Linked DNA regions of Lytechinus pictus. The protein of the gene in region 2 purifies or fractionates together with the protein of the main gene of each other region. This does not show direct contact. Links are inferred from orthologs where the notes say so. Each region holds a gene or a part of one and is shown on either strand. Other genes may lie near its edges. The genes, in order: GPN-loop GTPase 1-like, DNA-directed RNA polymerase III subunit RPC2-like, DNA-directed RNA polymerase III subunit RPC8-like and protein POLR1D-like.

Region 1 (6,970 bases), on a different chromosome or scaffold from region 2:
GTTCCTCGTGTAATACGTAGGGCTGGGACTAAAACCCGGGTACCCGGATCCCGCCCGGAAGCTTCGGGTACCCGGGTAGAAAAATCAATACCCGATACCCGAAAATTGCTCACCAGTATAACGTACATGTATTTGATTTGTATTGCGTAGTGTAAGACATGATTGTAACTCATCACAAAAGTACACAAGTCTCATTTTGAATCTCACCAATAACCCTCGAAATATCCATAAATATACAAGTTTTTCAAGTGATGATGATGTGACAGATCGTTCAATCGTCGCCATGTTTCTATTGCAGCGCAGTGACGTCATCCAGTCACTGCGACGCAAGCAAATTTATGAATGAAAATATAGTAAGCATGCGCATTGCAAGCCTCCCGTGCCCCACGCAATATTCCATCGAAAGAAGTCTGCAATACTCTGTCACCTCGTACCAAAATCGACCTAGAATTCCACTTTCCTATATTTTATATGAATTATGAAAGGTATTCTCAGAGGATCTGTTTTCTCACTGATACCACACGGGTAAGCAAAATCTCAGTTTGTGTGCTCACCAAATGCACATGATGCTGCCAATACACGACAATAGTCGAGTGCAATATTCATCGACTGTCTCATCATCACTTTGAACTGCTTGTCGAAATGCATGTCTCTCGAATACCACATTCTTCCAGGGCTCAAAATATTTGGTCAGAGCCTTCAGCGTTGTCTCATACTTAGGCTCATCCTCATCTACCAGTGTCTCATACAACTCTTGAACATCTGGTCCAGCACAATGTAGTAGAAGAGCCCTCTTCTGACCATCTGCTGAGACTCCTGATGCTGCAAGGTAGTACTCAAATGTCCGCCTCCATTTTGGCCAGGCAATCCCTGCTCTAGCCGAACGAACATCAAAGGGTGCTGGCTGTGAAAGGTCCACGCGTCGAGCCACATCCTCTGCCTTTTCAGGTTTTTTTTATCCTCGTCGCCAATTTTGTGTATGCGTATTCTGACTCTAATACACACTTGAACTCATACTCGGTCTCGATTTCTACTCATGTTCTAGGCATGTCTGCTTGTCTGCTTCACCCACGATACGGACGCTTGCATCGCGTAACGTTGGAGAAGAACAATAGAAAACAAGATGGCGGCGTAAACATCGGGCAAGTCTCTTCCGTCTATTCATGATATTTTCCTCATTTTTTTTGATGAATTCTTGTCTAGAAATAAAATCCATAGCGTAGAGATGTCGGAAATGAAGTTGTTAGTTGTATCCCAAGTACATGATTTAGGGCTAGATCTTTTAGAAAGAAAGTAGAAATCTCGGGGGCGAAAGTTTCAGGTTTTTTGGTGGTACACACAAAAGTATAGGAAGGAAGACCTGGCTTCGTATGAGAGTAACCTTACGTTAGTAAATGATTTTTACTCTCTAGAAGCCTCCTGGCTACGACCCCCCCACTCACACGTATTGCGAGGTTAGTATTAGTATTACTAACCTCGCACCACGTCCACGAACCGCGTTTGGCAGTGGATTTCTAACTAGTGGGTAGCGCGTGCTGGGATCTCACTTCTTGGGTCCACAACACACGACTTCTATGGCTTGAATTTTCTGTGCGCGGCGGCATGTAATGAACCCTTGGGTAGCCAGGCGGCTTCTAGAGAGTAAAAATCATTTACTAACGTAAGGTCACTCTCATGAAGCCAGGCCTTCTATCCCATAGACCCACACAATGGAAGCCAAAACCTGAAACTTTCACCCCCGAGATTTCTACTTTCTTTCTAAAAGATCTAGCCCTAAATCATGTACATGGGATAAAACTTCATTTCCGACATTTCTACGCTCTCGTTGTTATTTTTGAACAAGAATTTATCAAAACAATGAGAGAAATATTGTGTAAAGACGGAAGAGACTTGCCCGATGTTTACGCCGCCATCTTGTTTTCTATAGTATTGTTCTTCCCCAACGTTACCCGATGCACGCGTCTGTAACGTTGGCGAAGAACAATAGGAAACAAGATGGCGGCGTAAACATCGGGCAAGTCTCTTCCGTCTTTACACAATATTTCTCTCATTTTTTTGATGAATTCTTGTTCAAAAATAACAACGAGAGCGTAGAAATGTCGGAAATGAAGTTTTATCCCTACATGATTTAGGGCTAGATCTTTTAGAAAGAAAGTAGAAATTTCGGGGGCGAAAGTTTCAGGTTTTTTGGTGGTACACGCAAAAGTATATGACGGAAGCCCTGGCTTCGTATGAGAGTGACCTTACGTTAGTAAATGATTTTTACTCTCTAGAAGCCGCCTGGCTACCCTTGGCCTGGGTGCGACCCCCCATCCTACAGTACAATTCAATTGTATACTCAACACAATAATCAATATGTGGGGCATGGGCTAAGCATGGACGCATTTTTTTTTTATTTACCTGAACGAAAGTCGTTTTACCAGAGCCTGCCATCCCTAATACGATTAAACATGGTGGTTTGGTGTCAGTGTTGTGCAATCCCCCAGCAGAAGCACCTCCATTCTCACCGTCTTCGCTGCTAACTCTGTCACTCTCACGAGGTTCAGAAATACCCATGGGCGTCGCCATTTTGGCTTATCAAGATAATGCGCATACGCGGCTGCTGCTGATCATGATTGGGGTTGGTTAAGTTGGTTACGTTGGTTGGTTCGTTGGTTGGTGGTTCGGTTGGTTGTTGGTTGGTATATTGGTTGGTTGGTTAATTGGTTGGTTGGTTGGTTAGAACAGTTTGTATTCTTAGATGGTGTTAAGTCTTATATATGCAGTCAATTACATGTGTCAGAGTGCAAGGTTCACCTTATTTCTCATATGATTTCCTTCATGACGCATACATGTAGGCCTATACATGTATTTCTTCTGAAAAGAACCCCTGCAATTTATTGTTGCACTAGCTGACTGTCAATACAGAATTGATTTCTGTTAACGAATGGATCATTGCTAACATAATGAAGCTTGAACGTATACGTGCCACCCTGATGTTCAGATAATAATCTTATTATATGTTCTGCATCTCTATAATTAGGAAAAATTGACCAGATGCCGAGATCTCAGATCTTGTCATCATCTACATCCTGTGGGAGAGATGACAATATCTCATCATATATCTACATCCTGTGGGAGAGATGATATGAGTTGACATTTGACAAGATCTTGGATCTCGTCGTGTCTACATGTGGGAGAGATGGTCAGATGACTGAGATCTTGGATTCGTCATGTCTACATTAATGAGTTGTGGAGATGATGATCAGATGACAAGGTCTTGGATCCATGATCTGCACTGCATGGATCATGATGTAGACATGCATGACGAGATCCAGGATATTGTCATCTGATCATCGATCTCAAACGGCATGTATAGATATGACGAGATCCAAGATATCTTGTCATCTGATCATCTCCCATATTGGATAAAGACATGAGATCGAGATCTATTAATTGTCATCTCATCATCTTTTTGAAGGATTGTAGACATGACGGGATGATTATCTGAACAAAATCAGGCTTAATTTCCTTGAATCATTTGTTAAAACAAACTACATGTTATTCAGCAACACTCTAGCAACATTGCCAGCTAATATTACAACTAAGGCATGCGGTTCAGATTACTGAAGTCTTGTGCAAAATTCCTTGGGGTTAAACATTGGAAGCAGAGTTGGAATTAAGTTCACACTTCTTATTTAAGTAAACTTCTTTCCAGAAATTCAAGAGTCATTAATTCATTATTCAGAGTACATTTCCAAAACGGGCCGGCTTTGCCCCCCCCCCCCCTATAGTCTGCTATGCAGACTCTGAATGGCTCGTTAGGTGGGATCTCAGCGCGAAGCTAGCCTGAAAGGGCGAGCGAAGCGAGCCATTTCAGATCTGCAGCTACAGTAGACCTAGTCTATGCAACTCCTTGAATCAGCTGTGGTTCACACACTGCAGATGTGGGTCTACATTTGTAGACTAGCCCCCCCCCCCCCCCCTCGATCCGCCAGTGATCTCATACTGATATTTTGTTTGATGAAAACAAGTTCCTAAATTTACATGACATATTTGATTGGTTGCATTATGTATCAATTAAATAAAAGAGGAATTCCACTTGCCCTTCGATTTTAGATTAATTTAGATTTATTCATTTTCCGTTCAAAAAGCACAACAAAATAAAAGTAACAATACATAGTCAGATTTAAAGTACAATATTAATCGGAATAATGCATAAGAATTAGAAGGTATAAACAATGAGAACTATAATGCGAACTAAAGTAACTTTGACTATTAACTATATAAAAAAACAGAACGGAGGGGCTTGCCAAAAAAGCAAAGCTTGTATGTGAGGCAAGCCCCTGTCTGCCTGTAACTTAGTTTCAATACGTAAAGACAACATTACAAAACTATAGTATAAATGAGAGACGGAAGACAGTTTAAAAGGAGACTATACAAAATATCGAAGGTACCAACGAAAGAGTGACACAAATTAGAATAAATGATAATAGTAATAATAAAAAATAAATGCTCCGTTATGTGAATTGAATCTATTAGAACGTCTGGCATCCGCCAACATTTTGTTCAAAACAAAATGTACAAAATAATACAAAACAAATATACAATTCAAATACTATAAGCAGATAAACAAAGACAAAATAGTATTTTATCAAAAAAGAAAAACAACTTAAGTCTACTATTAAATAAATAGTAAATGCATTACATGTAAACACGATGTGTAAGAATATTACGAATATATTACTACAGAATGTTTGCAGGTTGATATCTTTAGTACTCTTGCTGACATTTTATCTTCAGAAATCACCCCTAATAGCAATTATGTTTTGGATAAAAGAACAAAACTATTCAATAAAAAAACTTCAGTTTCAAATTTCATATGTAGATACATTTTTCGTGGCACTCCATAAATAGCTTAAAGTACAATAAAGCGTGATTTAAAGTTTATAGCAATCCATCTACAGAAAGCTGACCCAGGTTGTGTTAAACGCATCTAATATCTTACGCTCTTATGTTGCAAAACATCATACGCACAATTGTCTGAAAGTTAATAATGAGCAAGATAAATGTAAATTCTTCTTGGGGTCGGCCCTATAAAGGGTGTCATCAATGATTATAAAAATAAGTTCATAATTTAACTATAAAATCCTCGTTTCTTTTGTTGAGTCTCAATAAGAATATATGAATTTATATTTTTATGAGCATTCACTATTTTATCATGCGTACTTTGAACAGAGAGATTTTAAACGAATGCTTCCAATGGTTTATTGGACCCTACTTAGAGTTTAAAGCTATTCTATTTGAAAAGTCACAAGAAGTTAACCCTTTTTTCAAATAATAAAAATCCATATAGGCATAAATAAGGTTAAAGTTTCGAAGGATGCTTGTTTATCTTAATCCCATTTTCATGTTTGTAGTTTCAAAGTTGCATTTGTTCACCAGATAATTGCCTGATGCAGTCTCACATTGTGCACGTTTTCATTATTGAATTTATTACATTTTCCTTTGGTGTGATCTACGTTGCCTATAAACTCAACATATTGTTGAACATTATTTTTATTCATTACAATTACATTTTGTCTGAACAACATCTTGGTCAGATTTACCAAGTTTCAAAATGTTTCATACTGTAGAATCCATATTCGTGTAAATTTTTATTTTTAGGGATGCTGAGTTTTCTCAAATGTAATTATACCTTTTGATTCATCATTTTGTATCATTTTGTAATGTTAAGTTCAATGGGCAAAGTAATTTGTCAGGGATAAATGAATCAGACCATTAAGATCACATCGATATTCCTTTGAACAATTCTGAAAACACTTGTCTCTTTCTTGTTACTTCCGAATGTGTCAATGCATTCTTACACATGCAGGCCCGTCAGATCAAATTTTCGCATACGTTCGTAATTCCGAAGCTTCGTTATTCCGAAGGTTCGGATATTCCGAAGGTTTGTTATTCCGAAGGTTCGTATTTCTGAAGGTTCGTAATTCCGAAGGTTCGTTAGTCCGAAAACGAAATGAGGTTCGTAATACCGAAGGTTCGTTAGTCCGAAAACGAAGTGATTAAAGAACATTATTTCGTTTTCGAACTAACGAACCTCCGGAACAACGAACCCTATTTAGTTTTCGGATTAACGAACCTTCGGAACAACGAACCATATATTTCGTTTTCGGATTAACGAACCTTCGGAACATCGAACCTTATTTCGTTTTCGGATTATCGAACCTACGGAATAATGCCACAAATGTTCGGAGTAACGAACCCTTTTACGTTTTTGGATTAACGAACATCGAGGTATAGGCAATTTACGTGTTTCAGAATTACGAACCTTCGGAATAAAGAACCTTCGGAATTACGAAGTGTAACCCGAATTTTAAAGTGGTATGGTTATGGTAAGCTATTTGACCCATAAAGACGATAAACTATGTTTATCGTCGATGGGTCAAATGGCTTGCCATATATGGTATGATTCTGGGATATTCTCGGTAAATCAAAATGTTGCGAATCTAAACGACCCTCTGTCTTAGAACAGGTACATGCTGGAGGGTAATAGACTTGTCCATTGCCTTTAATTATCACCTTCATATAGATGATGCGAGCGGTTCCCTTATATTTTGTAGAGGAGACCCTGGCCTATAATCTAGGCGGAGGTAGCATTTATTGTCTTTGTCACATCAGACGTATCGCTTGCGTTCAGCATAACAGCAAAGACATTAACTATTACATTAACCGTTCAAGACATTAGCCTCCGCCTAGATTATAGGCTATAGAGGCCCGGGCAGGTTCCGTTTTGTACCAAAATATATCAGGGCATATTTTGACACATCGTCACTTTTGTCTAATTCCCTCATTTTTTTTCTCCTTGTTTTTTTTTCAATTGTATGTTTCACCCTTATCTTTCTGTATTTTATGTTTAACCTCAGTTTCTTCCTCTCTGCTCTTAAAGTCTTTAATGATTAAATGCCATTTTTCCTCATTTTACTACTTT
Region 2 (6,997 bases):
ATGAATCTATGAATATACATCATATCTAGCAAAAATTTTTGAACATGCATTTTACATATTTACTTAACTGGCTTTCCATACTTGCGAATGATCAGATCAATCGCAACTCTTTGTAAGACGGGCACGGGGGCTACTAAAAGATCTCATGATGAAAGTAAACAATCAAGTATATATTCTACGTACTAAGAATATTGCTAGCTGATAAATCAAAAGTCAATCATATGATAAACTGCTCACTGGTTGTGATGATAATGACTATGATAATTGTATGTCTTTATGACATAGTACTCACTTCATGTAGAAAGTTTGGTCAGCATCACTGGTAATCTTCTCATTTGCTTTCATTATCTTCTTGATCTGTAAATGTAATAAACAAATAATAAGTCTTAGATTTATTTTTGGTTCCCCCCCCCCCATTCTCATTCGGTTAAGGTTTAGTTAGGTGTTTTTTTTTTTTGTTTTTTTTTCTCATTGAATTTGTGATTATATGATGTTTTTAAGATTTCTTTAAGTACAATTGTTGTTATGGGTTGGTCTCACACAAGGTTTCATCCTTTTTGGTCATTACCTTCCTCACTTTCTTTAAAGTTGATGTTCATTGTACTTACATTGTCTATTTTTTATGTATTTTTATCTTGATCTCTTGAGGAGAAATAAATGAAACTTGAAAAAAAAACTTGAAACTTGAAAATAGTATAATACTAAATGAATAATGAATATGAATGAATAAATGAATAATTGAATAAATAAACAAATAAATGAAAAATAAATAAATAGATAAACAAACATATAAATAAATAAAGTAAATGTGAATGAGAATAAATGAATAAATAAACACAAATATAAATGAATAAATAAAACAAGAATAGAGGCCTACATGGGGATATGATAATCTCACCTTGCTCATAAAAAAATGCAAACTTTAAAGGAGAATGAAACCTTTGGAACAAGATAGCTTGTGTGAAAACAGAAAAATCAAAGAAACGGATCAACGAAAGTTTGAGAAAAATCAGACAAATAATGAGAAAGTTATGAGCTTTTGAATATTGCGATCACTAATGCTATGGAGATCCTCACATTGGCAATGCGACAAAGATGTGTGATGTCACTCTTGAACATCTCTCCCCATTACTTTAGTATATATTTCACTTAAATTGCCTCTTTTATTACATCTATCAGTAGAACATTTATTCTTTCTGTAGGTGGGCATGTAAAACAGATTTTTAAAGAATACATCATGGATAAAGAGTTTGTATAACCATACGAAAAAGCAAAAAGACACATTTTCAGGGTATTTCATAGTCCATCAAAGGGAAAGTTGTTCATGTGTGACATCACACTTCCTTGTAGCATTAGAGATTGTAATATTCAAATGCTCATAACTTTCTTATTATTTGTCCGATTTTTCTCAAACTTTCTTTGTTCGTATTCTTTGATTTTTCTGTTTCGACACAAGCCTACTTGTTAAAAGTTTCATAAACTTCTTAATCCTTGTCCAAATTGGATGATATTTTCAGGACTTTTATATCTGATTTTACCTTATCTGTTGAAATCATTTCTTTTATTCAGTTTAGAGTAGCCCTTCAGAGCTGCCAACCTGAACAAGAACATTACAGTATTTTGTATAGCTGAAAATCAGTATTTTGGGTTATTTGAAAGAAATATATACCAGTCTACAGGAAGAACCATAAAACTGAAACTTTAGAAATCAGTGTTTTGCATGAAATCACCAGTATTCTTCTCATTTTTCAGTACGAAATACTGAAGACCAGTACTACTTGGCAGCTCTGTTTCCTTTAAAGGTCAGGTCCACCCCCAAAAATGTTGATATGAATTAATTGAGAAAAATTAACTCCCATAACGCTGAAAATTTCATCAAAAGCGGATGTAAAATAGAAAATTATGACATTTGAAACTTTTGTTTATTTTTTCACAGAACAGTGATATGCACAATTCAGTGACCTGCAAATGAAACAGTTGATGATGTCCCTCACTCACAATTTTTGCTTTTATTGTTTGAATTATATATTTCATTTTTTACAGATTTGACAATTAGGACCAACTTGACTGAACCATATAGTAATAATCAATGCTAATTCCACCTGCTCAGTGAGGAATTAACTGTTGTTTCACCTAACAATGAGGAGAAAATTATAATATTTAATTTTTCATGTAATAAAATACAAAAAAAATAGTAATGGATGACGTCATCAGTCCCTCATTTGCATACTGACCAGGATGTGCATATAATTATTTCGTGAAATTAAGCAAAAGTTTAAAATGTCATAACTTTCTCATTTTACATCCGATTTTGATGAAATTTTTAGTATTGTGCTTGTTGAATTTTTTCCTTTTTATTCAAATCAACTTTTTTTGGTTGCTTTAAACTTGTCCTTTAAATTGGCTCAAGAGCCAGATAAAGCCTCCCACCCCCCCCAGAAAAAAATTGCCTATACCTCGATATTCGTTAAGCCGAAAACGTAAAAGGGTTCATTAATCCGAACATTTGTGGCGTTATTCCGAAGGTTCGATAATCCGAAAACGAAATAAGGTTCGATGTTCCGAAGATTCATTAATCCGAAAACGAAATATGGTTCGTTGTTCCGAAGGTTCGTTAATCTAAAAACGAAATAAGGTTCGTTGTTCCGAAGGTTTGTTTGTCCGAAAACGAAATAAGGTTCGTTAATCATTTCGTTTTCGGACTAACGAACCTTCGGAATTACGAACCTCATTTCGTTTTCGGAATAACGAACCTTCGGAATTACAAACCTCACTTCGTTTTCGGACTAACAAACCTTCGGAATTACGAACCTTATTTCGTTTTCGGCCTAACGAACCTTCAGAATTACGAACCTTCGGAAATACGAACCTTTGGAGTAACGAACCTTTGGAATAACAAAGCTTCAGAATTACGAATGTATGCGTTCAAATACTTACCTCCACATTAATGAAGTAGTTGAACGAGTCAATATGCTGGCGGACCAACCCTCTCACCTTCAGGAAGGCCGGAAGAAGCTTCCATTTATCCTTTGAAAAAAAAAATTAAAGATACAATGAAACATCATCAGAGTGTCTGGTAAATGGTCACTAACGTTTTATGCTACAGAGGCCAGGGGAGTGTTTCATTAATATTTTCATCCGACATGTTGTCAGAACTTTTCTTGATTTTGATTGGCTGAGAAGCACTGTCACTGTGATAACTGTCGGATAAAACGTCCGACATGGTCTTTCATAAAACGCTCACCTGGTGGGTTTTTCGTAAAAAATTGTGAATGACTTTATGCATGACTTGTGACCCTTTCTTGTGCTTACTGATATAACCCAAGTAGGGGCAGCGGAATGGTTTGAAACTGGGGGTGGGGGTGCTATGTCAAAAGTTGTGGTAAAACCAGATGGTAACTTTCACTATTTTGTACAAAGTTTATTTTTAAGTGGGGGAGGGGGAGGGATAAAGCCCAACTAGCCTCCACCCCCACCCCCAGTTGCGCGGGCCACTGCCTATGTACATAGCTGACTTGAGACTGGAACCTCAAAAAAACAAAAAGTTCTCTCCTTCTACCCCAGTCTCGATGGCCGATCGAGACTGGGGTAGAAGGAGAGAACTTTTCTGTTTTTTGAGGTTCCAGTCTGTGCCTCGATGTCAGGATTCTACCACTCGATAGACTAGACCTTCATCCATTATATTATAATCGTGGTAAGTGCATAATTTCTGTTTTCACAATTTATCTTGCTAGATATTTTGACCATAATCTACCCTTGTCCCGTGAGTATGGGTAAATACACGGTGAGCTCCTGGGTTAAAATGAATACTGACTAAAATTAAAACTGAGCTGTGTCAAAAAACCAATCATTAGGGTGTCTGGAGAAAAATATTATTTTTCTTATTTCAAGAAAATATCACATTTTCTTTGTGAATTTGAAGAGAAATGACCTTCAGCCTGACAGAAATGTAACATTTTTGAAAAAAATCTGATTATTGGCTACAAAAAAGAAGAATGAAATTAGGTCAATTTTCAGCATTTCTCTGCCATAGACTCGGTGGTCACCCTCCTGGGCTTCAACCCTGCAATGACCAAGCAAATGCAATCTATAATTAGAGCATCGGTGGTAGCATTTGTCTCATCCACCAGCGCTAACATCTAGCCAAACTAGCCAACAAAACAATTACCTAGCAGTTTTTCTACCTTTGAGTTCTCAACACTAAGTGTCTACCGAGGAGACTACTAGGGCGTGAAACAGGCCCAAAACGAACAACAACAACAACAACAAATGCCATAGACTGTGTAGTTAAGAAATGGACACACACAAATCCAAATTTTTAGCTTCCGAGAGCTGTTATAAATTTATTATTAATGCCAAAAACTTGTCCATAAAGAGTCCAATAGGATTTTTTATGCTCTTTCTGATGGTATGATTTTTATAAAGATTTGGAAACCAGATCACATTGAAAAATTGCGACAAAGTGAAAAAATTGTGCAAAACAGAAATTTCATTTTCCCATAGAAAACGCATGGGGAAATGGCAATCTCAACACACACAAAAATAAATAAGGGTTTGCAATTTATTTCAAAATCCGTAATTCAAATGATCATATAAACTTGTCCTTCCTGTCAAAAGAAGCCCCTGAATTTTCTCTTTCCATACATGCCAAACACAAGTTAATCATCAATTCAGATCACATGCCCACGTTTTTCTAGTAGCCTGAACTTCCCGAAAAAAATGTGCCACATTTTCCCCTAAATCAGCCTGTCTTATGCTGACACTTTTCAGTGTGGCATCAGACACCCTACAAACACTCTAGGCGACACCCCAATACTTACCCGTGCTAATAAACTGGGACTCCACTCACGTGCATTTGGGCCGCCCTAGCTTAGAACTAAGCAATATTATCGAGAAATTGTTACATTGTAGTCATGAAATATGTTCTATTAAATAAATTGATAATGTTTAATCGGTACTCACTGGTTCTTTTGTTGCATTTTCAGACCATTTCTCACAATTCTTCGTAAATATCTGCGGCAAATTTTGTCGCCATAGACAGCTTAACATCCATCTTTATTGATAAATGGAGCGCCCTTTACGATAGTTGTTAATGCCGCGGAGAAATCGTTAGGCATTTTGGCCTGTGTTCAAGGCGTAGCTGTTCTATTTTTTTTTTATAGGTATGAGATCGAAATCACAGCGAGTATTTACACTCTTCCATAATGATTCCGAAAGGGAGGCGCAACACCCCCCACCCACAGGGGCGCAAATTCCAGGGGAACATGTCCCCCTCACCTAGAATAGTAGGGGGACACATTATGAAATGTCATCCCCCTACTATTTTGGGTCTTATCATTCAAAATCGAAATAAAATATGTATTTTGGAAGAGACAATCTTACTTTTGGGGTGCCCTTTTTTTTTGCTTGTTTGCTTATCAAATTTCTTTTGGTCAAGATGACCTTCTTTTTGGGGTGATAAACCTTCTTTTTTGTTTTTGTTTGTTTGTTTTTTTCTTGTCAAATTTTCCAGCCCCTGGTCCCGGCTACCTTTAGGGAGAGATTTCCGCCCTTGCCTAACAGTACACTTGATATTGTTTGCGAATCTGCGTGGGCGTCGGGGGCTGGGGGATGAGGAAAAGCGGTGAGACGAGAAAAAAAAATAGAAGGAAAAAGAGGACAGAAAAAAAGTGAACGAAAGAAAAATTAATGGAAAATAAAAGGGAGGAGAAAATAGTGAGAAAAGTGATGGGTAGGTCGAGATTTTATGTGTCCGTGCAAAAAGAAATGAGCAGAGGTTGAGATGTTGTCTGTTTGGGCAAATGTCTGTCTGTTTGTTGGACTGGCGCCTGTTGCAAAAATTATTAAGCTGATGGAATCAGAAAGTTCCAACTGCTTCATGTCATACCGACAGTGACAGGATTAGGCGGTTGTATATATAAATCACGCTCTAAAACTGTGTTCTTTATTAAAAAGTTGTCCTTCATATTCATTTTCGCAAAAGAATATCAAGTTTTCAATTAATTGTCTATAGTTATCCTGTTTATGATAAAAATACTTAGAAATTGGGTTAGGTTAGGGTTATCAAATTATCGGGGCAGAAAATATATTTTTTCAGTTCGCGCGTCGAGCTGGCATTAGTGATCAGTGAGATTATGTTTTTAATGACATTCATTCTATTCACAGCAATATATTATTAAACATAGCCGCATGAATTATAGATAGGTCTATAGTTATCAGGTGAATAATTTACCGCTACACACTGATCATGTGGATACTGTTTTGTAAAGGGGAATTTCACCTTGATAAAAAGATTGTGAAAATATAGGCCAAATAAAAATAATTTCAAAACATCGGTGAAGGTGTTATTAAAAAAAAATGGAGTTAGTAGAATTTCGAATGCTTGATTTGTGACGTCATAAACGAGCAGTTGCTCAATATTCTATGTAATACAAAATGCAAAAATTTCCCATTTTTAATGGTCCGTAATGACCCACTTTTTTCTTTTTGGAGAGAGTATGAAGTTATCTATTGATATACTGAATGTACAATAAAAGTCATTATCACGTATTTCTTGACATTTCATTTACTTTTTACCATAATTATATCCGATATAGCTGCTCGCAAAGGCCTACGCCGTCACAAATAATTATTTAAAAAATCTCACCTTTAATTTTTTTTTGGTGGGGGATGGATTTTTCCTGAACGCATACCAATTTTTCAAATTATTTTTTCTGCTATTTTCATAATTAACTTTAAATAAATTCACCTATGCACTACTTAATTTTTTCAAAGACAAAATAACAAAATTACATCTAGTCTTCATCATCACCATCATCACCAACTTCATTCTCATCATCATCACCACTACCACCATCATTATCATCATCATCATCATCATCATCATCATCATCACCGCCACCATCACCAACCCATCATCATCACCAAGATAATTTTCATCATCATCATCTTTCTTTTTTTTTCTTTTTTTTTCCCCTTCCCTTCTTCTTTTTTTCCT
Region 3 (7,460 bases), on a different chromosome or scaffold from region 2:
GGGATCCAAATGTCGTCCGTCGTCCGTCTGTCACAAACCTGTAATGACACATAACTCCACTACTGTAAGTCACTTTTCAACCAAACTTGGATGGTAGATGGACTTGGGGGACCTGCATCTTATGCTGCAGTCAGAGGTCACATGGTTAGGTCAAAGGTCATTTTGAGGTCAACGTTCAAGTTTACATGCAAGACTCTCTTATGACACCTAACTCCGCATCCGTGAGTTATTTTTCAACAAAACTTGGATGGTAGGTGTACTTAGGCGAGCTGCATGTTATGCTGCAGTTGGAGGTCACATGGTATGGTCAAAGGTCATTTTCAGGTCAACATTAAAGTTTACGTGCAAGGCTCTTATGACAAGTGTTATTCCATCCCAGTCATTTCACAATGAAGTTTGATATAATTCTCTTGCGTGCCCTCGCAAATTACGATATTTCTGGTTATTTTCATAAGTGGGCGAGACACAAAATTGCTTTTGCCTTGTTTAGGCTACAAAAAGATCTTTTTCTGTAAGCAATATCAAAATTCAAAACCAGCAACCACTAGTACACACTCATACATGTAAACACTAAAACTCCTTACATACAGTAGAATACAGAGCTTTATTCACACTTAAAACAAAAATCATATTGTAATGAGATACAATGGCATGTAAAAAGTTAAACCCCAAGAGAAATATTTGTTTATGTTTTAATATGATTATTCAATTTCCAGGAACATAATTTGAGTTTGTGTGCGTATGTGTGGACTTAGATCCTATGTGTGTTTGGGTATGTACATGTATGCAGTATGGATTTTATCTGTTTGTGTGTTTCTAGCTACTATGAGTTTTGTGATTCTAATTATTTCAGAACACTACTTTCATTTGTTGAGGTTAAAAACAACTAAAAAAAATACTAAAATTATTGAAAACAAGTGGAACGCCTCTGGCAGTCTCGCCTGCATTACGCAATTTAATATAGCAGCAGTGCTAACTTTGAAAACTACTATAAAATAATCATTCACAAAAACATCATTCATATAATGACATAATACCACGTTCATTGACCATAAATGACATTTGAACGGAGACTTAAGACTGTCAACTACATGTACACCCATGTCCACATTTCAATCACTCTATCCATAAACTTTCAAAGTTATGATGGCACTTCAACAATTACCCCAACATGGCCTAAGTTTATTGACCTTAACTGACCTTTGACTTGGTTTTGTGACCTGAAACTCACAGGGGATGTTCAGTGATGCTTGATTACTCTTATATCCCAAGTTTTATGAACTAGATCCATAAACTTCAGAGTTAGGATGGTAATTCAACAAATACCCCCAACACGGCAAAAGTTCATTGACCTTTAATGACCTTTGACCAAGGTCATGTGACCTGAAACTCGTACAGGATGTTCAGTGATACTTGATTACTCTTATGTCCAAGTTTTATGAACTAGATCCATAAACTTCCAGAGTTTGGATGGTAATTTAACATATACCCCAAACACGGCCAAAGTTCATTGACCTTAAATGACCATTGACCATGGTCATGTGACCTGAAACTCGCACAGGATATTCAGTGGTACTTGATTAACCTAATGTCCAAGTTTCATGAACTAAATCCATAAATTTTCAAAGTTATGATAGTAATTCAACAAATACCCCCAACTTGACCAAAGTTCATTGACCCTAAATGACCTTTGACTTTGGTCACGTGACCTGAAACTCGAGCAGGATGTTCACTTATACTTGATTAATCTTATGCCTAAGTTTCATGAACTAGGTCCATATACTTTCTAAGTTATGATGTGATTTCAAAAACTTAACCTTCGGTTCAGATTTTGAAAATTTTTTTCCCAACATGGTCTAAGTTCATTGACCCTAAATGACCTTTGACCTTGGTCATGTGACCTGAAACTCAGGCAGGATGTTCAGTAATACTTGATTAACCTTATGTCCAAGTTTCATGAACTAGGTTCATATACTTTCTAAGTTATGATGTCATTTCAAAAACTTAACCTTAGGTTAAGATTTGATGTTGACGCCGCCGCCGCCGTCGGAAAAGCGGCGCCTATAGTCTCGCTCTGCTATGCAGGCGAGACAAAAAAGAATTATAAATCATATTTCCTGTTTTTTCCATATTTACCGGACGCCCATCTTATTTACCGGACGGTATTTACCAGTATTTACCACCGGTAATTACCGCTACCGGTATTTACCGCCCAACCCTGGAAATATACCAGATTATGATGACTTAGACAGCTGCCATCCGTCTGTTTCGAGGAGTTTTTTAACATTTTTTTTTTTTAATTCTTCTCGTACACAGACGGCTCGCTAGCGTGCAGCCACCATTAGGGGACTTGCAATGCGAAATCCCCCCCGTCGGGGCTCTTCAATTTTTGTCTTTAATGAATAAAAATTTTGAAAATTAACGCGACCAAAATGCAAATTAATATTCCCTCTTGGCATTAATTGCCCAAAAACGGAGAAAAATCAAGGTAAAAGGAACAAAAACAGTGACTTACCTCGGCTGTCGCGCAAATTCACTTCCCCGTTTTATCCGATCTTAAGTACATAAACATATGGCCATTGAGTCCCCTGTACAGATCGCGCTAGAACTTCGGTCTCTGTATTTGGTGAGTGGAGCCAACGTAGTTCAGCGGAACAACCAAAATACAGAGACTGAAGCTTTTGGTCTAATGATGACTATGCTTGACTATGACTGAGATGATAATAATAAAAAAACAAATACACAAATCACTACGTATGGGACACAGCATTAAACTTCTGCATGTTACGTTTCGAATCACCAAAATTTACCTCGATTTAACAAAGAAATAAATGAATATTTTCTAATCTTGCATACTCCATGGTACTTTCATTCTTTTAATTGATGAAATAAACTTAAATGCAAAAAGAACTTACATACAACGGCGCCGAGGAGAAGATTTCTTTGGACCCTAAATCGAGAAAAGTGAATGCAAATCGTGTAACTTGTAAGCTCGACTATGGCACGCCCATAGGGAAACAATTATATATATATTTCACTTGAAAAAAATATGTTTCTCTTCTACTAAACCATTTCACTCAAAGAAATTTATATTTCACTTTTCAAAAAAATATATTTCACTTTTCAAAAAAATATATATTTCACTTTTCAAAAAAATATATTTCACTTTTCAAAAAAAATATATTTCACTTTTCAAAAAAATATATTTCACTTTTCAAAAAAATATATTTCACTTTTCAAAAAAATATATTTCACTTTTCAAAAAATAATATATTTCACTTTTCCAAAAAAAATATGTTTCACTTTTGAAAAGAATCATTTCACTTGTTACATTTTAATTTTGAGAGAAAACAAATCCTTTCACTTTTGTTGGATAACACATGCGGCTGCCGTATTAGACCGTACGTAAAATTCATCTATCTATCTACCTACATGATATATCTATCTATCTCTCTGCCTAATATATATCTATCTGTTTAAATCTATCTATCTATCCATCTATCTGTCTGTCTATTTATCTATCTATCTTTCGAACTATTTATTTTTCTATCTATCTGTCTAACAATTATCTGTTTAAATATGTCTGTCTATCTATCTATCTGTCTGTCTCTATATCTATCTATCTAATATCTATTTATTTATTTTAATATGTCTATATCTGTTTATTTATCATTCAATCTATCTATCTATCTAATGATTTATCCGGCTGTTTAAATGTCTGTATATCTGTCTTAATTTCTATCTATCTGCCTATTTATCTTTATCTATCTATCTATCTATCTATCTATCTATCTATCTATCTATCTATCTATTTTAAGTCTATCTGTTCAAAATATGTATGTCTATCTGTATGTCTACCTTTTATCTTTCAATCTAATATCTATTGATCTGTGCAAATAATCATGTCTGTTTATTTGTCTGTTTATCTATTTAATATCTATCTATTAAATCTGTTAAATATGTTATTCTATCTGTCTATCTATCAATAAATATATCAATCTATTTTCTCTCTATCTATATATCTATCCATCTGTTTATCTATCTGCGTATGTATCTATGTATCTATCTGTCTCTGAATCTATGTGTATATCAAATATAATATCATAATCACCGTTATCATCATCATCATATTTGCCATCAATCATCAGCATCATCCTCCTCATCGTATTTTTTATCATCAATCAATATCTATCTAATGTCTATCTGTCTATCTATCTAATACCTATTTATCTGTTTATATCTATCTATATATTAATCCCTTTTATTAATATATATCTATCTTCTATTGATCAATCCACCTATCATTTATCTCTCCATCCATCGATCTATCTATCTATTTATCTATCTTTCTTATACGTATCTGTTTAAATATGTATGTCTATCTGTCTGTCTATTTATCTTTCATACTTATATCCACTCATTTGTATGAATAATTATGTCTGTTTATCTACGACCGACCACCTAATTCGTCCGCACGACGAATTAAAATCTAGTTTCTTTTTCACTTGTTACATTTTAAATCTGAGAGAAAACAAATCCTTTCACTTTTGTTGGATAACACATACGACGGCGGCTGCCGTATTAGACTGTACGTAAAATTCATTCCTCACGTGAAAATCCATTCCTCTCGCTACGTAAAACATTTCACTCTTGTTGCAAAATTCATTTCACTCAATTGCAAAAAAATACGTTCCTCTTTTTTTTCGGCCTGTAGGCGGCGCACATCATTGTTGGCAGGACGAGGTAACAGAGATGGTTGCAAAATTTTCGCTGTGCTGAGGGGAGAAATCATGAATCCGGTTGCAACACACAAAATGACAAGGATATGGGGATACCAGCGAACCCAATTACGACACTTTCCCACGCGTGCCCGAGAATACACCACGAGGTGGGCCCATGAACACAAAACATAAAGTTTGATTTTATTACTGATTATGCACAATAGCCAGTGCAATATCAGCTGTTGCATTCTGCCCTACGATCAATCACTAACGTTTTGTAGGCATGATATGAAGCATGGATAGCTCCACGCATGGCACTACACTATCTCTGGAGCTAAATGGACAAGGTGTTGAAATTTCCCTTTTCTCCATTCCGTCTGTCTTTTACTTCATTGACATACGATAATCGCGATGATTGATGAAATGAAGCTTACAAAAGGCTACATTTCACTGGTCAACTCGCTTGTACTTCCGTTGCAAAACAAAATTCTCACCATTTTGTCACGGGCAGTGCTTCTTCAAACCAGACATAGGCGGTAAAGCATACATGACTGAATGGGTGAAGACGTCATCGCTTTCGGTGGACATTCTCGGCTAAGATAGATAGATAGATAGATAGATTGACTGATTGATAAATAAACAGATATACAGACATATTAAAAAATATTAGATAGATATATAGATAAAGAGACAGACAGACAGATAGATAGATTCGTAGATAGATAGACAGACATATTTAATCAGATAATTATTAGACAGATAGATAGAAAAATAAATATTACCTTGAAATTACCTTGATGGCCACATCTCACTGTCTTCATGACGAGGGTGTACAGATGAGTGTGGCAGGGTTAAGGAGGCTCTTAGAGCCCATTTAAAAACCCAATTTTGATAATTGTATCTTAAATTGCAGGAGTGTTGGTGCGTCAACTGTGGACTGTGGGAGTTTATTCCATTTATTGACAACCCTTTGGCTAAAGAAGTGTTTCCGTATATCCAGTCTAGATCGTTGCTTGGAAAATTTAAGAGAGTGTCCTCTTGTTCTGGCACACTCTACTCTCTGGAAATAATTGTCTGGGTTTGATTTGTCCATTTGTGTCATGATCCGGTATGTTTGAATGAGGTCTCCCCTTTCTCTCCTCCTTTCTAACGTAGTGAGGTTTAATCTGGCAAGCCTGTCTTCATAGGATAGATCATGGATATCAGGGATCATTTTTGTAGCTCTTGCTTGGACCTTCTCCAGTATTTGTTTGTCCTTTGCTAGGTATGGATTCCAAGTCTGCATTGCATAGTCCAAGTGTGGACGTACCAGCGATTTGTACAGTTTCAGGATCACTTGTCTATTTTTAAATGTAAAGTTGCGTTTGATCATCCCTAGTACCATATTGCCTCTCTTGGCCGCTGCTGCACATTGGGAAGCAACTTTTAGTGATTTATTGACAAGAATCCCGAGATCTTTTTCTTCGACCGTTTCTTTTAGTGCAGAGCCATTCAGTGAATACACTTGGTGAGGGTTGTTGGATCCAAAATGCATAACTGCACACTTGTCTATGTTGAATCTCATCAGCCATTTTGCTGCCCATCTATCGAGGTGATTGATCGACTGTTGCATACCTTGTATGTCTTCGTCAGTTTGTACGGCATGTATAAGCTTGGTATCATCTGCAAATTTGCTGATTTTTGAGTCATTGTTGATTCCAATATCCATATCATTTACATACATCAAAAAACAGAGTGGGCCCAGCACAGAGCCTTGAACAACGGAGCTGGTAACTTCCCTCCAGTCAGATTCTGCTCGCTGTGTACTAACTCTTTGTTTACGATCACTGAGCCAACTTTTGATCCATTGTAGTAACTTACCACCGATCCCATGTGCTTCAATTTTCCTGATTAGTCTTTTGTGTGGTACGGTGTCAAACGCTTTTGCTAGATCGAGGTATACGACATCAACTGGCGTACCCTCGTCGACTCTCTTTGTGATGATTTCGAGATACTCCAGCAAATTCGTTGTTGTTGACCTTCCTTTGGTGAAGCCATGTTGAGTGTCATAGATAAGGTTGTGTTTCTCAACGTGCTCAGTAATCTTGTCTCTAACTATGCTTTCCATAACTTTCCCAGCTGTTGAAGTTAGGCTGATTGGTCTATAGTTGTTAGGCTTTGACCTTGATCCTTTTTTAAAGATTGGGATAACATGGGCAAGTTTCCAATCTGGAGGCACTATTCCTTCTTCTAAGGATTTGTTGAATATGTAGGCTAGGGGTGCACATAGTTGGCTTGCCATAGTCGTGAGAACGACTGGAGGTATCTCATCTGGTCCAGCAGCCTTTGTTGGATCAAGCGCTTCCAATTTCTTTCTGACACATTCATCGGTTATCGAGAAGTCTTTGAGAAACATGTCATTTGGTCCTTGAAATATTGTTTGAGGAATGGGTGCTTCATTTTTCTCATCTGCAAACACCGTCACAAAATAGTTGTTGAGGGCGTTAGCTGTATCAACTCCTGGGTTAATTGTTTCGCCAGCTTCATTCTTAAGAGGCCCGACGGAATCCTTTACCTTCTGTTTCGTTCTCACATATGCATAGAAGCTTTTAGTATCTTCCTTTATATTCTCAGCTAGTCTTTTCTCAAAGCTTTTTTTGGCTACTTCTACTTCATGCTTTGCCTCTTTCTGGCACTGCTTATAGTGCTCAAATCTTTGAGTTGTCTTCTGGGATTTATATCGCTTCCATGCTCTGTGTT
Region 4 (7,226 bases), on a different chromosome or scaffold from region 2:
ACCCCCCGGTACGCCAGTGCTTTAACGTAAAGCTTAATGCAGGAAGGGTCCATATAGGGGCCCGTTATAGAACCCATTAAAGGTTACAGATGAAAAGCCCCCACTGCACGGGGTCTTGACTCTTGGACAGAGCCTTTGGAGATTTAGCAAGTTTATGATAGACTTTCATAGGACATTATGCTATATACCATCCATTTTTCTTCCCGCTCGTTATCTCAATCCTCGGCAGCCCGGTAGTGTACGTTATCTTGTCCCTATTCTTTATTTTCCAATTTAGATTTTGGCTAATTCCATTCTGCCTTTATTTCCCGCTTTTGTTTGCCTTTTTGTCATCTTTAATTTATTTCCCTGTCTTACTAATCATGCTAATGTATTTGTATATCGGGGCGAATTGTTCTTTCTCAATTGTTCTTTTTTCCTTCCTTTTCCCCGTTATCTTTCCGTTTTCCCTTTTTTATGTTTTTTCTTAGTTTTCTTTTCCTTTTTCCTTTCCCTTTCCCCTTTTTTCTTTCCTTTCCCTTTCCCTTCCCTCCCCCTTTTTTTCTTTTTCCCTTTTTTCTTATTTTCCCGGTGAGCTCCGCCAGCCCAGGACCAAAATCCAGTTGAAACCAATTAGAGCAAAACCAATTGAAACCAGTTGGTCAACTGGTTTCAATAGGGAAATTGGAACAACTGGAACCAATTGAAACCAGTTGCCAACTGGTTCCAGTTAAAACCAATTGGGCAACTGGAACCAGTTGGCAATTGGTTTCAATTGGTTCCAGTTGAAACCAATTCAAGCAACGTACCAGTTGGCAACTGGTTTCAATTGGTTCCAGTTGTTCCAATTTCCCTATTAAAACCAGTTGAATCCAATTGGAGGCAACTGGTTTCAATTGGTTCCAGTTGAAACCAATTGGAGGCAACTGGTTTCAACTGGATCCAGTTGAAACTAATTGGTTTCCAACTGGATCCAATTGGAAATTCCAGTTGGAATGACTTAATTAATGACAAATTAATTAAAATTTGCACTAACTATTGCTCATGCCAACAAAGAAGCAGTGCTATATGTTTATTAATACCAATGTAAAGGGCATTGATAAAATAGACTTTCTTCATGTATATATATTTATATGAAAGATCTTCAAATATATGTATTTGTATTTGATGTAATTTGGTAACAGTTAGTGGTGTACTAATTATCTTATAATATGTTTTAATTATAATCTATAACATTTATGAACATGGTTTTCACTGCTAAGCATTCTAAACACTTATCTGAAACAAGTATGGTACTTGAATTAGAAAAGAATTAAATAGATACATTTTAAATGATGATGAATCACATAAAACATTAATCTGTGCACACTGGCAGATAATATGCAAATTAACTGGTTTCAATTGGAACCAGTTGGGTAACTGGAAAATTTCCAATTGGAAACCAATTGGAAGTCATTTCCAGTTACCCAACTGGATCCAGTTAGGATTTCCAGTTGCCCAACAGGTTCCAATTAGAATTAATTTCCAGTTAATCACCTTTCCAGTTAGAAGTCATCTTCAGTTACCCAATTGGTTCGAGTTAGGATTTCCAGTTACCCAACTGGTTCCAATTAGAAATCATTTCCAGTTGGAAGTCATTTCCAGTTACCCAATTGGTTCCAGTTAGGATTTCCAGTTACCCAACTGGTTCCAGTTAGAAATCATTTCCAGTTAGAAGTCATTTCCAGTTACCCAACTGGTTCCAGTTAGGATTTCCAGTTACCCAACTGGTTCCAGTTAGAAATCCTTTCCAGTTGGAAGTCATTTCCAGTTACCCAACTGGTTCCAGTTAGGATTTCCAGTTACCCAACTGGTTCCAGTTAGAAATCATTTCCAGTTGGAAGTCATTTCCAGTTACCCAACTGGTTCCAGTTAGAAATCATTTCCAGTTAGAAGTCATTTCCAGTTACCCAACTGGTTCCAGTTAGGATTTCCAGTTACCCAACTGGTTCCAGTTAGAAATCCTTTCCAGTTGGAAGCCATTTCCAGTTACCCAACTGGTTCCAGTTAGGATTTTCAGTTACCCAACTGGTTCCAGTTAGAAATCATTTCCAGTTAGAAGTCATTTCCAGTTACCCAACTGGTTCCAGTTAGGATTTCCAGTTACCCAACTGGTTCCAGTTACCCAACTGGTTCCAGTTGGAAGTCATTTCCAGTTACCCAACTGGTTCCAGTTAGGATTTCCAGTTACCCAACTGGTTCCAGTTAGAAATCATTTCCAGTTAGAAGTCATTTCCAGCTACCCAACTGGTTCCAGTTAGGATTTCCAGTTACCCAATTGGTTCCAGTTAGAAATCATTTCCATTTGGAAGTCATTTCCAGTTACCCAACTGGTTCCAGTTAGGATTTCCAGTTGCCCAACTGGTTTCAATTGGTTTCAACTGGAAATTGTTATATTCCAGTTAAAACCAATTGAAACCAGTTGAAACCAATTGAAACCAATTGGAAATCCAACTGGTTTCAATTGGATTTTGGTCCTGGGAGGGGGGCAGCTTGCCCCCCCTGCCCCCCCGCCTGTTACGCCACTGACTTTAAATGACACATTGTTTATGTCATGGGTGACCGAGATATTGTTTTTTGAGAGCGAACTTTATCCGAGCTATTTGTTGGTTTCCCACTGCAATTTTCAATGATATTCTATCCCCTATTCTAACCATTTTCCGAGTAAATGCTTCTGAAATTTTTGTGTATAACACATCCTTGGTGACTTGCAGGCACCTGCTTAGCATGAGACATATTATGTTCTTCGTCACAGTCCCACAATGGTTAGAAGAGCAAAGCAAAACATGAAGCGTAGACAGGGAAGGTAAGTCCTAGTGCGAAAACGTTGAAGCTGTTGGTGCAAAAAATAAAGATGGCTGGTCTAATTCCACTTTGTCTCTATTTCATGTAGACATTATTGTCAGATCTAAGATCTGAACATTCTAAGCATTTCTTGTTTTCATGATCAAGATACGTATCTAACTAGAAACAAAATTTATGCGAGCGCGAAGCGCGAGCTGAATTTTTTTTTACACTGACCTGAAAAGTGCCACTTTTCGGACTGTTTGCAGTGACTCATGTGAAGGATACATATTTCACCTCCCAAATAATGCGAGCGCGAAGCATCAACTTTAAATTGTTTATATTCCGACTGGAAGAATTTTGACATTCTAAGCAATTTTTTTAAGATCGAGATGGGTATGTCTCTATAAACAATTAATGTGAGGGCTAACCGCGATCGAGCTGAAATCTTAATACACAAACCCGAAAAGGGCCATACTTTGAACTATTTGCAGTGACTCATGCGGAGGAACAAATCTCACCAACCATATAATGTGACGCGAAGCGCGAACTGATTTTTTTATCTCGACCTGAAACACTTGACAATTTTGAACAATTTTTGTAAACATTATCAGGATTATTTTGATAATTCGACCTAAAAAAATAGGTTAAGCACTTTTTTTATAACAATATATGAAAAAAAAACATTAATCATAATTGCCGAGCGCGATCGAAGAGCAAGCCGAAAACCTAAAAACGGGACAAATATTCTTTGTAATCATGAAAAGAATGTATCTTCCTAAATAAATGATGCGAGCGCGAAGCCAAAATTGAAAATTTGTAATTTTCCAATAGGTAAACTTGGCGTTAAAATAAATAAAATGAATCTCTAGCTGAGCACTAGTATCTCAAACAAATACAACCATGAAGCGCGAGCTAAAATTTATATACTGAACCGCAAGAGGGAACGTGTTAAGCACTTTATAACAAGATTGTATGCATGTGACTGCGAGCGCGTAGCGCAAGCTCCATTTTTTCAGCATTTTTTAAATTCATGATGGTGGGTATCTCGGTGAAAAAAAATAATTAAAACTCGAACCGCGGGCAGGATTGGAAACAGGATACTTTAGTCCCCCGGCCATGTTATACCGAGGTGTTTTTTTTCCTCAGTCATGTCAGTAAAGCAGAATCTCATTAAAAAAAGAATCATTCACTTTGGCTCCTCTTATCTTTTTTTCCCATCCTTTTCTCCCCTTCTTCCCTACCCCCTTCTTTTACTTTTTTTTTGCCCCTCCAATCGGGGAGTGGGGTCGGGCGGCATCTTCGCCCCCTCCAAAAGGTCTGCATTAGTTTATGTTGGAACAGGCTACATGTAGGCCATGTGAACGTAGCTGACAAGTTTCAAGCGGACTGTATACCGTACCGTACTTGTACTTATGACGCGACGTGCTTGAAATTATATAGTCAGCTGCGTTCACTTATTTGTCTGCTTTCACGAACGAACAGCGCAGAGTTGAGAAGTCCTTGTCGTGATTATGCGATGACTGACAGTGTATTTCCATTTGGTAAAAGAACATGTCATTCGTACTTTAATGTACTTTAAAAATGTGGGAGTTACTGTAAAAGAGAACAAGAGGGGGTCTGTAATTTAATCGGCGAAAAATAAAGAGCGTTTGTTTGACTTGAGTCTTTAGTTTTACCTTTGTCCCACACCATTAATTTACTGTGGTGCTAACCCAGGCAGACTCTCACGCCGGCGGAGCCGGCGCGGCGCGTGACTGAGTCTGAGAGCCTGCCACTTGTTCACTGCAATCACCCTGCCTGTGGAATCTAACGTTAGATCTAACGTTACTTGTTGTACTAGATCTATGGTAAGCCAATGCCCAATGCAGTACACAGCACACACTTAAAAGTTCAGACATTAAAATATCACTTTTGTGACCAAAAATTCTAATTTCCATACAGTTGCAATTTATTTTTTATTAGTAATTTGGGAGTACCGGTACCGTAATTTGTGTACGGTATTCACCAGAGCGCTTGAAAACTTGAATTTTGGGCATAATTTTGTGTATGCCCTCTTGTGGAAAGTAATACTATTACTAATATGGCAAGATAATTGTCATTTTTCAATCTCTATTTTTAAGAAAAAATAATTTAAAGAATCAAATTTACTTAAGACCAAGTTATAATATTTATGATGAATAGCTGTAAAGTGTAATGGAAACTGACAGTGTAAAAATATCAAGCATTTGTCCCAAAGAAAAAGAGAAAATAAGCCAAACATTGCCAACCTTATTTTGCCACACATGGAGTAGTAACAGAGAACAAGGTAGACAGGAATAACCGTCGTTTCTGGGGATTTATTCAACAATTTCTGACATTTTACTGTAATCCCCATTTACCGACGGTAGGGTGTACGTGTGGGCTCGCATGTGTTCTCATTCCCTCCCTTTTGTCAATTCACAGTCCAAAGTTTGATGTAATTTTACACATCGAATTTACAATCTAAGGATGTATAAACAACAAACTTTTGAACCTTGATATTTCAATATTTACATACTTTAAACGATATAGATGAAAAAGGCATGAAAAATATACTTTACCGATGTTTAATTGGGTTGAACACGATAAAAATGGTCAAAATGGCAGCCAAACTATAAAATATTTACAAACGAACGTCAACAATCACGAATGTGATATCGATATTGCTTTCGATATTATACGATCTGCTCCATATGCGAACGAAACCGAAGATAAACGATACTAGTACTAGTACTAGTTATAATCGCGATATATCGATTCGAGACATTAAGTTAATAACGATAATGACGTCATTCAAGATGGCAACTTGCAAGAAAAACCGTCAGGTCAGGTGAAAATGTCTTAGATGACAGATTTCTCAATCATCCAGAGGATTTTTTTCAATAACTCCGGCCCAAGGTATGCAATTACTTAAGTTATTTATATTTCCCTGATAATGGAAACCATGAAACTTTCAATTTTGCTTAAAAAACAGTTTTAAATCGCGATCTATAAAACGCTAGTTCACTATACGTTGGCTGTAGGTACGGGGCCCCATCCCCTTCAGTCTATGTATGGTGAGTGGAGCCAACGTAGTTCAGCGGAACAACCAAAATACAGAGACTGAAGCTTTTGGTCTAAGAACAAGGTAACTAATATCATATAACCTTGTTCATTGAATGAGTGACTTTTCTACTAGTACTAGTCTATACGTTAGTCTCCAGACATTACGTCAAACCCCCGTTTGGAGAAAGACCGCAGTTCAGATTGCAAACTGCGGTGTTATACCCCATTTTTCATGTGGATCTCCCAAATATCATTTCCAAGCCCTTATCAACCGCGCTTGGCCAGGTAATCCAGGGGTAATCCCCGCTGTCTCAATTTCACCTCCACATGCCAGTATATGAGCATTGAGCAAAGGACCAAAAGATAAACAACAGCTGTGCTATTACGTAAGGCTTCTCTGCCTGTAGTAGGACCTTCGGAATGAAATTATTGTATTCGATATTTAATCACGTTTTCAAAGGCATATTGTATTCAGTAATCCAATGTTAGTCCATTTTCAATTTCGAACGAAGAAAATCAGCCTCTTAATAAGGAAAGTAAGCCGGACTAAGCGAATAAAAATGACGGCATGTTTTGCAGAAACCGAGCTCAGCGCTGCGCATGCATCCCATCGTGTGTGGCCCCCTGCTGTGACTGTATATGCCGGGCTGTTGTGTTATCTTCGGACCGACGTCAAGAAACAGGTGTTTTGATACTTAAATTGCTTGCTTGGGGCAGTTAGAGTTTGTCGTACTTGGAGAAGAGAATTGATGAGAAGGGAAACTGGGGTATAGTGTTCTCAAATGGAAGTTTTTCGTCATGAGCACTCAAAATCTTGAATTTGGCTCTACTCTAGTCTTCTTGACCTAGTAGCCTTGAGGACTCCTTGATGAGGTTTTTTTTTAAAATATAATTTGACATCTAGACTATACTTACATCATGGAGCCTTGACACCCTGCCCATACGGTCCTCAGCGAGGAGACATCAAAACAAAGATGGATTTCCCTAGGAAATCTATCTTTGCCACAATAATTGTTGGGAAAACATGTAATTTTTCCAATTCGTAAGCCTTTATACTCTAAATGCACGTAAGTGCCTTAAAAAAGAACAAAAAGAAAAGGTGAAAATTTAAAATTTTCTTACCAGAAGATTCCCTCGTTTGCAGTTTCCACATGTTAACACAGTGACTTGACCTTTGACTCGGTCGTGAGGAGGTATGTACGTACAGGTAAATACGGAGAGAATTGATGCTCATGCATAGCTAATTGTGCTAGTATAATAAGATTCTAGGCCGACGTAGTGTATATTTTGGACGTTCTAATGTCAATGACAGGTTTAGAGTGTTAATACAGTTTCGCATCGGCCGATCTGGCGATGCT

The links.
Region 1: the proteins of DNA-directed RNA polymerase III subunit RPC2-like (region 2) and GPN-loop GTPase 1-like purify together in Homo sapiens (affinity purification with mass spectrometry; 4 studies listed by BioGRID and IntAct, with this or other methods). This does not show direct contact. The link is inferred for Lytechinus pictus from reciprocal best matches to the Homo sapiens genes POLR3B and GPN1.
Region 3: the proteins of DNA-directed RNA polymerase III subunit RPC2-like (region 2) and DNA-directed RNA polymerase III subunit RPC8-like purify together in Homo sapiens (affinity purification with mass spectrometry; 8 studies listed by BioGRID and IntAct, with this or other methods). This does not show direct contact. The link is inferred for Lytechinus pictus from reciprocal best matches to the Homo sapiens genes POLR3B and POLR3H.
Region 4: the proteins of DNA-directed RNA polymerase III subunit RPC2-like (region 2) and protein POLR1D-like purify together in Homo sapiens (affinity purification with mass spectrometry; 6 studies listed by BioGRID and IntAct, with this or other methods). This does not show direct contact. The link is inferred for Lytechinus pictus from reciprocal best matches to the Homo sapiens genes POLR3B and POLR1D.

Annotation. Positions count from the first base shown.
Region 1 is NC_087252.1:17,444,260-17,451,229, forward strand, and holds the start of GPN-loop GTPase 1-like, read right to left. Parts: upstream 3,007-6,970; 5' UTR 2,569-3,006; coding exon 2,401-2,568; intron 1-2,400. UniProt on the Homo sapiens protein: Small GTPase required for proper nuclear import of RNA polymerase II (RNAPII). May act at an RNAP assembly step prior to nuclear import.
Region 2 is NC_087250.1:6,009,937-6,016,933, forward strand, and holds the start of DNA-directed RNA polymerase III subunit RPC2-like, read right to left. Parts: upstream 3,024-6,997; 5' UTR 2,938-3,023; intron 358-2,937; 5' UTR 346-357; coding exon 293-345; intron 1-292. UniProt on the Homo sapiens protein: Catalytic core component of RNA polymerase III (Pol III), a DNA-dependent RNA polymerase which synthesizes small non-coding RNAs using the four ribonucleoside triphosphates as substrates.
Region 3 is NC_087254.1:6,939,323-6,946,782, forward strand, and holds the start of DNA-directed RNA polymerase III subunit RPC8-like, read right to left. Parts: upstream 3,006-7,460; 5' UTR 2,916-3,005; intron 1-2,915.
Region 4 is NC_087249.1:40,692,376-40,699,601, forward strand, and holds the start of protein POLR1D-like, read left to right. Parts: upstream 1-4,224; 5' UTR 4,225-4,346; intron 4,347-7,226.